2 linked regions of the Schizosaccharomyces pombe genome follow. The gene in region 2 interacts genetically with the main gene of each other region. Each region holds a gene or a part of one and is shown on either strand. Other genes may lie near its edges.

What was found.
Region 1: of aut12 (region 2) and nem1, changing one enhances a phenotype caused by changing the other (phenotypic enhancement), as found in Schizosaccharomyces pombe (one study listed by BioGRID).

The regions. Positions count from the first base shown.
Region 1 is NC_003423.3:3,371,355-3,376,119, reverse strand, and holds nem1 (Nem1-Spo7 phosphatase complex catalytic subunit Nem1), read right to left. Parts: upstream 2,819-4,765; 5' UTR 2,656-2,818; coding exon 1,225-2,655; 3' UTR 568-1,224; downstream 1-567. Other genes in the region: U3 snoRNP-associated protein Utp3, read left to right, coding at 1-559; RNA polymerase I transcription factor subunit Rrn6, read left to right, coding at 3,936-4,765. UniProt on the Schizosaccharomyces pombe protein: Catalytic component of the nem1-spo7 complex which acts as a phosphatase and may be required for proper nuclear membrane morphology.
Region 2 is NC_003424.3:641,345-645,861, forward strand, and holds aut12 (autophagy associated protein Aut12), read right to left. Parts: upstream 2,195-4,517; 5' UTR 2,169-2,194; coding exon 874-2,168; intron 788-873; coding exon 541-787; 3' UTR 501-540; downstream 1-500. Other genes in the region: grh1 (GRASP family protein), read right to left, coding at 1-57, 104-283; chaperonin-containing T-complex beta subunit Cct2, read left to right, coding at 3,367-3,369, 3,406-3,537, 3,585-4,517.

The sequences.
Region 1 (4,765 bases), on a different chromosome or scaffold from region 2:
TAAGCGTTCCAGAGCGGTACTGGAGTTATCAGGTGATTTGGACATGCCATACAAAGAACGAAGATTTGAACGCCAGCAGCGATTGATGAGAGAAGCTGCAGCCAGGGGTCGAAATCAGGATGCTGGTGCTGATCTTGATGATGAAGATCCGGAATCAATGGGCATACCTGCAAATGTCGATCGTGAAGTTGAAGATCAAGATGATTTGGATTATTACGAGTCTCTCGATAAAAAATCAAAGATGGCTAAAAAGCTCCGTAAAGAAAATCACGATCTCGAACGTGATTTAATAAGAGCTTCAAGGCACCCAGAACTAATTGAATTAGGTGAAGGTGATAAGCGTGGAATTACTTTAGACATTGCTAAAAATAGAGGATTAACTCCCCGTCGACCTAAAGAAAATAGAAATCCTCGACTTAAAAAGCGTATGCGCTACGAAAAAGCTAAGAAGAAATTAGCCAGCAAAAAGGCTATTTACAAGGGCGCACCACAGGGCGGCTATGCTGGTGAGCAGACTGGTATTAAAGCTGGTTTAGTTAAAAGTATTAAACTTCAATAGAAGTGGTGGTTGGTATTGATTCAACTATTAATTCTGCATATATTAGGTTTTTTGAATTTTCGTGTTATTAGATACATATAATAATAATGTGGTTTTGGGTTATGTTATTTGCTAGAACAATGTCGTTAGCCTAGTGATATGATTTTAAAATGCTAAAAGTCTATGTAATCTGGTTTATAATCATTAAATCATTTATAATCCTTTGCCCATCCTGATTAAGTAAGTTGATTGTAATAACAGATTGAAAAGTAAAAAAAAAAGAATCAACACTTAAATAGAATAAACATGTTTATTAAAAGCTTGATTTAGAAAGAAATTTCATAAGTAAGTTGCCTTCGTAATTGCTGCGAACATCAGTGCAGAAACTAATCTTTCTTAAAACATGCGTTTAGTTTATTAGAAAGAATTTCTTACGATTAGGCTTACATTAATTGACATATTATCAGCAAAAAGAAACAAAAATTATTTAACTGGAATGGCCCAAATGCGGTCTAGGAAATATCCAAAAGGTACCCTTTTGAGGTTATAACAAAGAAGTTTGATGATGAGAAAGGAAAGGCACCCAAGATGTTAATGCAGTAGAAAAAGTTATTTTAGACCATCGTTACTGGTGATAAATAACGAGTAAATTACTCACGAAAAAAAAAAGGAATCATGAAAAGCACTTATTTTGCGAGACGAAGCCCCAAAAGATCTCGCACATCATGAACATATTGCAGTGCATGAAGAAAAGAAAGTAAGTTTAGTAAATCAACGTCAGAGGGGTCGCTAATCCAACCTTCAATAGGTATGGCATTTTCTTTATGAGCATTGTAACTGGCTGGAGAATTATCAATTATCATGATCCGTGAAAGATGAATATTACAAATGGAAATATCTTTAACGAAAGAACTATCGACAAGTGCACAGTGTTGACGGTAGTATCGTTTAGCAAATATTTTTTTATCACGCTCCAAATAATCAATTATTGGATCAGCATATGGCTGGACAGATGCTGTGAACAAAATAAGGCGAAACCATTGACTCACATTTGATAAAAAGTAGTCAAGATGAGGCCTTTTGTGAATATAGTAAAGGATTGGATGTTCACCAGGCACATGTACTTCAATTGGCTGTCCAGAAGTCGTTCGACTACCACGAGACACGGAATGGATAAGTGTTTCATCCAAATCTAATACAAGGGTCTTTCTCGGTAACTTGCTATTCAACAAAGGCCTCGGTATTTTGTCCGCACACAGAGTAATGTTTCTAATACGGAGACGGGAAGAAGAAGGAGATTTAAGAGGATCATTAACTATCGTAAAGGAGGAAGGCAGCTTAGAAATATTGTCATTAGCAGGCGGGGAAAACTGAGTTGATTGAGGTTGATGCGAATGTCCTGAACGATTGGAATTTGCTTTTCCCATTAGGGAGACCTCTTTGGGTTTCATAGGAGAAACACACACATCTTCTTCTGAATTCAATGAATTTGAAAAAGAATTGAAAGAAATTTCTTCTTCTGCAATAGAGGGCTGAAAACGAACATGATTTCCATTAGAAGAACTGCTATAAGAATTAGAAGATCTATGTCGTTTGAAAGATGAATAGGCAGGATCCTGGTGAGAGGATGGGTAAGAATAAGAAGAATAAAACCTAGGACGGCGGACACTTGGCTGAGGGGGAAGCATCTCTCGGCGTTTATACGATAATAATACAGGAAAAAAGACAAACCGGCATAGACCCCAAAAAAAACTTGCAAGGGTAAACTCTTTCTCTTCATTCAAAAAGTGGTACAAAAATACACGAGCGGAATGAACGAAAAACGTATAAATTCGTTTCAGGAACACACGAATCCAGTAGACGACAACACGCATAATGTTGGCATGCTTCGGTTTTTCATTCCTTGTAGGAACTTCCTTTTCCGTCGGTTTTGATGACAAACTGCTAAGGCTGGACGCCGAATAAGACGATCTACGACGATTATAATGCCTCAAAGTAGCTGATGAAGCTCGCCCCCGAGCATTAGCAAGTTTTTCTTTGTCAGCTTCATCGTCGTCTAAAGGAGTGGCAAGGATTGCTTTATTAATTTCATCTGATAGCCTAGCAATCGAATTCATTACAATTATTTTCTCTCTGCTGCGATTGCAAAGAATTAAAAAATTCACCAAAAGAAGCGATGCATACAAAGTATACAACGACCAAGCAGAGTCCTTTTAGTAAAAAAGAGTAATTAATTAAATATGTGTTAGTTAGACCTAAAATATGTGGGAAAACAAAGCCAGAATCACACGGTGGTACGATGCACAATATATATAATGATGAACTACAACCCAAATAATAACATTTTCATAAGACGTAATGCTTAAGAAGATATATCAAAACTACCTTAAAGTAACAAATTTAAATGTAAACAATACGGTGTAAATATTTATTAAGTTCGTAAAATGAAAGTTCATTGCAGAAGCTTTCATTTTTTTTAACTAATAAACTTTACTTGTATGGGTTTCTGTGCAAGAAAAATTAATTTTCATTTTATTAAAAGTCTAAATATTTGTAGAAGCTAGCTTAATTGCCATTCTTTTAATCAACGTTTTGCTAGAATGTAAGTCGCCGAGCGGTCTTTTTAGGTTTCTTGACATTACTTGAAAGATGCTTTTAAGTCTAAATATATTTAATGGTACGTTAAAATGTATCAAGCTCCTTTAGACGTTGCATACAATAAATTACTTACAAATAACAGGCTGAACTAACTTATTGACTTTACAAAATTATAAACATATCGATAAAATTGGTTAAGCGGACACTAAAGAGAATTCAAAACACTTGCTAATCTGAATATTGCACTCTTCCTCAGGTATCAGCACCTCCTTACGTATTTTTTATGAAAAGGGAAAACTGGGCTAATGCAACATTCGTAAACCAATTTATCTATTGCTAAATCATTCCAAAATCGTAAGCGTTTGCATTTCATTGTAAAGGAGATTGTTTTGTTGCTGTGTTAATCTACATGTAATTGATAGCAGCTTAGAGACTTCGGAGAAGAACTCCTCTCCTACTTGAACACTGTCTTATGACTAATTTAAGTATTACTTTTAAACTTCATCTTTTTCTAGTAAAGAGAAATTCTCAGTTAACATAAATCAATAAATTGTTCAATTGAAAGCATGTAGTCGGTAGGAGTTATATTTTATATAATTATATAATGGTTTAAAGATAGCACTTTAAATATATTATAGTATAACAATAAAGTCAAGTTCTTAACTATAGGTGAAATTACTCCAGCATTGCTTCCTTGAAACACTGATTACTTGCTTTGTCGCTAGGTTGCTCTTGTATTGTCGTTAGATGTGTTTTTGTAAACACAATTCAATCTAATTTTATTTTTCTAATTATCTTCATGTCAACATGGCCTATTGATGCAATTAGTAAAAAACCTAGTGTAAGTTTGGATTATGGAATTATAGGGGCGTGTCAACTTTTAAATCCATCTGGCTATCACAGAGCGGAGAAGGTTGAAAATAATGAATGGACTTTTGCTAGGTATGACTCCTATACGGGCGTCGAGCTTGTTGACTTGGACAAAAGATGGGATATCTTATCTTTAAATCCAAACTACAAACTCCCTAAATTAACTGAGCTTCCTGCTGAGGCCACCAATTCCACGCGTAAAGCGACTAGTAGTTCATTTGGTTTAAGTGTTTGCAGATATGTTCCGCGAAATTTATTTTCTACACTAGCGAAAGAGTCTCAATTAGCTTCTTCTGCTGAGTCTATATATAATCCACATATTTTAAATACTTTTTGCTTGGGTAAAACAGCGCCATCAGATAAAAACAGATACACCACAACTGAATGTCTTGCTTGTAGCAAGATTAGCAATGAAACTGCGGAAAATCTCCTCTTTTTATGCCTCTCGTCTCCATGGATTTTTCGTGCATCTCCGACATTACAAAATACTGCAACTTTTGAAGAATTCCCATTTTACTTGAATGTATCGGCTTTTGAGTTTGCTGAGGATCCAATATGGAAATTCTCACAACCAGTGAGACAATTGGTTTTCTCTAATGGAGAACCAAGTTTGCTCTTCGCATTATCGTCTTGTGAGTTGGTTATATTCCAGGTAACTTATGATTTAATGTTCTTAGATGAGCCAAATACACCTGGATGCTTGTCCGCTATACCTCTGCGTTTTTTGTACGCAGATGATGTTTATAATTCTGACTCGTT
Region 2 (4,517 bases):
AGTTACTTCGGGGGAAGAATCACGAAGCAAAGCCATAAACATTGAAGGGTCTCCATTCTGTGAAAAACACTTTAGTAATGATAAAACTATAATCAGTTCATACCAGTAAGATCCCATTCACTGCCGTTATAAAATCGTAATAAGACTCAATTCTGGCATTATAGGCTTTCGAATCGTTTTCAACCTTTAATACTCTGAAACCACATGATTCATCTGATTCTCGATGAATACCAGCTAAAGCTTCTGATTTTTCTTTAATAAAGTTCTTTAAACCACCAAACATTTCGATTGTTTAGTACTTAAATAGGGTTGGTGGTGATTTAGGTAATGGCGCGGTTGACTCGCTATGATATTAAGTTCATACAGTCGGAAATTTATGTGAGTAAAATGATGCTGATATTAATAAATTAAAACAAAAAAAGGAAAAAGAAAAATTAATAAAGCTGTTGGAAGCAATCACCGCTCTTTTAAATATTTTACTGTCAAAACATCATAAAAAATAAAAAGAAATGAATTTCATTAAACTTTACATGCTCATTATCAAAACGAAAGGTTTGTTTGTATAAATAATCGATTCTCCTCCCTTCGTATCCATCTCAAAATCTTATTAACATTTGCAATAAGCAGTTGACTGCTAGTGGTAGCGTTAGCAATACAATGAAAGTCGAACGATGCAGTTGACCACGTGAATAGAAGCAAAGATTCATGGACAGTCATATTAATTGAGAAAGAATTTTTTTTGTGAAATGCCTGGTCGTGTAAGCTAGCATAAATAGCATAAAGAGTTCTAAAAACATAGTTAGCAAAGCAAATGAGCCCAAAGATAGCGATCGTATTGAAATTGTAAAGAAAAATAGATCATTGTATACGTACCTAGTATTGAAATTGGGAGTTGAAAATGAATAGCCAGGAGTATAAAACTGTGAGTATTTCTTTGAATAAAACAAGTAATGTGAAATACAAGGAGATCCGGGATTCCTTGGCGTAGTTCTATCCATTTCTTCACAATAAATGAGCTTTTTCAACCATCCATGATCCTGAATTTCCTGAGCAACTTTGCATTTCACTGATTGCATTTCAAAAAAGACACCACTTTCGCTGCTCCCCATTATCAAGACAGTGTCCTTACATAGGAAATAGCTATAAATGTAAATATAAGCATCTGGATTTAGAGTAGGAAAACAAACAGGCACCCAATGCTCCATTGAATCATTAAAAGACTGTGTGCGGAAGAGTGATAGGAAAAGTAAATAGAGATCATTAGCATGTAATAAAAGCTTCTTCGCCTTAACCATACAAACAAGCCGACCTCGTATAGCTATAAAAGTAAACAGCAGAGATTTGGGTGTTTCTCTCAACAGCAGTTGCGACAGCTGATCACGAAAAGAGGAACGTAAAGGAAGAGGAGATATGGCATTCAATGTGGGGACTAATTCATAATCATTAAGTTGATCACATAGTTCTTTTAGGAACTGCTCGTTGCTTCCAATAAGTCTTCTCAAATCAAAATTTGGGCGGGAGTTTAAGGTCAGCTGCATAGCTTTCGCAGTAACCCCAGTAAGTATTTGGCAATATAAGAGGTTTAACTCACTGAGTAAATATGCTGCGCTTAAAGTTGTCGATGGCGATACGCCAACAAGATAAAGAGGATTTTTGGAGAGAACAACGATAACATTGGAAAAGGTAGAAAAGCTTGTTAGCTCTTCTTTCGACACTTCGAAAGAGCTAATAATTGCTTGTAACGCGCCAACGGTTGATGGCTCAATTGAATCATCAACAATGTTACTAAACACGGGCTTCCCTGATGAAGAGAATATCAAATATGTGCGCTTTTGTTTTGCCAAATCAAAAGATATCAACGAAAGTAGTTTTATAATTTCATCAACAGCCGTATTGTTACTACTGCTCGATACTGAAGTGCTTACATTAAGCGGAGAGGAATTATCATGCAATATATCAGAAAGTAATTGTTCAACGTTTTCCACGTGGCTTCGCAATTCTGGTGTAGACCTGCTTACTTCTTGATCATCCTCTGACACCGAAGGCGCTGCCATTAGAACATTACCAGGGTTTAACAGCAGTGATCCACATTCCGACTCATGAGATCTATGAACGTTATCATTTTCCACTTCCTCCTTGATTGATGAATGCTCAGATGTTGGTTCCATCAACTGGCTGTTTTCATTAGTGGGATGGATTGAATAAGGAGGACTGTAGCTGTTGTAATAATGCTAACCTCGCTTCATTCACTCATTTACGGTTAAAATTAAGGGAAAAGAAGGCGTTTTAAATATTTTGCTTTTTATTGAATAAAAAATAATTATTGATTCTTTAAATAAATGTTGAAACTCAACTTTGCGGTGCAATCATAAAGATATTGTGCCGAAGATGATTTCGTACCTAGTTGTATAGGTAATTCAAAAGGGAAGATTGGAATGGCTGAGTCTTCGGCAAAGAATTTCATATTACAACTAAATGGCATTCAAGATACGTTTACATGGAAGTCAATTGTATACAGAGAACAGTACTGAATTTAAAATAAAACTAATAATTACACGTTCTATGAAATGTACGCGCTCTAAACTAAGAATACTCTTTGGTTAAGAAATTAATGTTAAAAAGCGCTTAGAATATAGCGCTAGATGTATTACTACAAACTGTTTATATTGAGTTATTTAGGAGTGATCACTGATCTATCGTTTCAACTAAAATGCTGCTTATCCTTGACTTCTCAAGGTCTAAGGATGGTATTCACATTTAAAGATCTAGAAACTTGTTGGCTAACTTTTCGAGATGGTTCCATCTAATATTGAATAGAATTGAGATTTGCGCATTGGTTCTTTCAATATCTATATTGCTCCAAAACAAAAACATTAGTCTAGTACTTGTAAGAAAACACAAGTCATACAGGGAATCGAAAATAAAAAATCAGTTGAAATCTTTAATCGACGCTTCATATTTCATTTTGAGCAATAATAAAACACTCGATTAAGCCAACCATCATCTAGTTTGTTGAACATGCTCAGTAGTCGGTATTAACTTCATAGAGACTTGAATAGATATAGGAAATCTTTTAATTTTTTGATATTTTATATTTGAGAGTAATAGAATAGTGTTTTATATAGCAATGCTTAAAAGCTGTCTCATTATTTTCTTTTGCATGAATATGAACGTAAGAGAATGAAATATATATATTATAAAAATATTTGATTATAATATTATTTACGATCCAAAACTAGAAATATACAGTCGCTGGTACATGCCTGGTAAGCTACGGCTTACGTTGTTGCGACGAGCTTCTTGTTCGCTGTAAGCTACTTTCCACTCAACCACCGCAACTCTGGGTTTATCGTACACTATCTGGAAATGGTAATATCATGTGTAAAAACCGTACTAACGATATAGTCTTTAAATCCTCATCAGATTTTTAACGAAAGTGGCATCCAAGAGCGGGGTGAAAATGCCCGTCTTTCATCGTTTGTGGGTGCAATTGCTGTGGGCGATTTGGTAAAAAGCACTTTAGGTCCTAAGGGAATGGTAAGGTCAAATCTACATAGAAAAAATTTTTAATTAACGATTTATAGGACAAAATTTTACAATCAAACTCTTCGGGTGATATTGTTGTGACAAATGACGGTGCTACCATTCTTAAGTCTATAGCTTTGGATAATGCAGCTGCTAAAGTTTTAGTGAATATCTCAAAAGTCCAAGATGATGAAGTTGGCGACGGTACTACCAGTGTGTGTGTCTTCGCTGCTGAACTTCTTCGTCAAGCAGAAATTATGGTCAATGCAAAAATACATCCTCAAGTGATTATCGATGGTTATCGTATTGCTACTAAAACTGCTATCGATGCTCTTCGTGCTTCCTCTATTGATAATTCTAGTGATCCTGCTAAATTTCGTAGTGACCTCGAGAATATTGCCAGAACTACTCTGTCTTCCAAAATCTTATCTCAGAATAAAAACCATTTTGCTCAGCTGGCTGTTGATGCAGTGCTTCGCTTGAAAGGTAGCACGAACTTGGATAACATTCAAATTATTAAGATCCTTGGTGGTAAACTTGATGACTCCTTCCTTGATGAGGGATTTATTCTCAATAAAACTATTGGTGTTAACTGTCCCAAAGTTATGGAAAATGCTAACATTTTAATTGCTAATACGGCTATGGATACGGATAAAGTGAAAGTTTTTGGTGCTAGGGTTCGTGTAGACACAACTGGCAAGCTTGCCGAACTTGAACGCGCTGAGCGCGAGAAAATGAAGGCTAAAGTTGAAAAAATCAAAAGTCATAATATTAATTGCTTCATTAACCGTCAACTCATTTACAATTGGCCAGAGCAGCTGTTCGCTGACGCTGGTATTATGTCCATTGAACATGCAGACTTCGATGGAATTGAGCGGCTGTCTTTGGTCACTGGTGGTGAAATTGCTTCAACTTTTGACCATCCTGAACTTGTCAAATTAGGTCACTGTAAGAAAATTGAGGAGATCATTATCGGTGAAGATAAAATGATC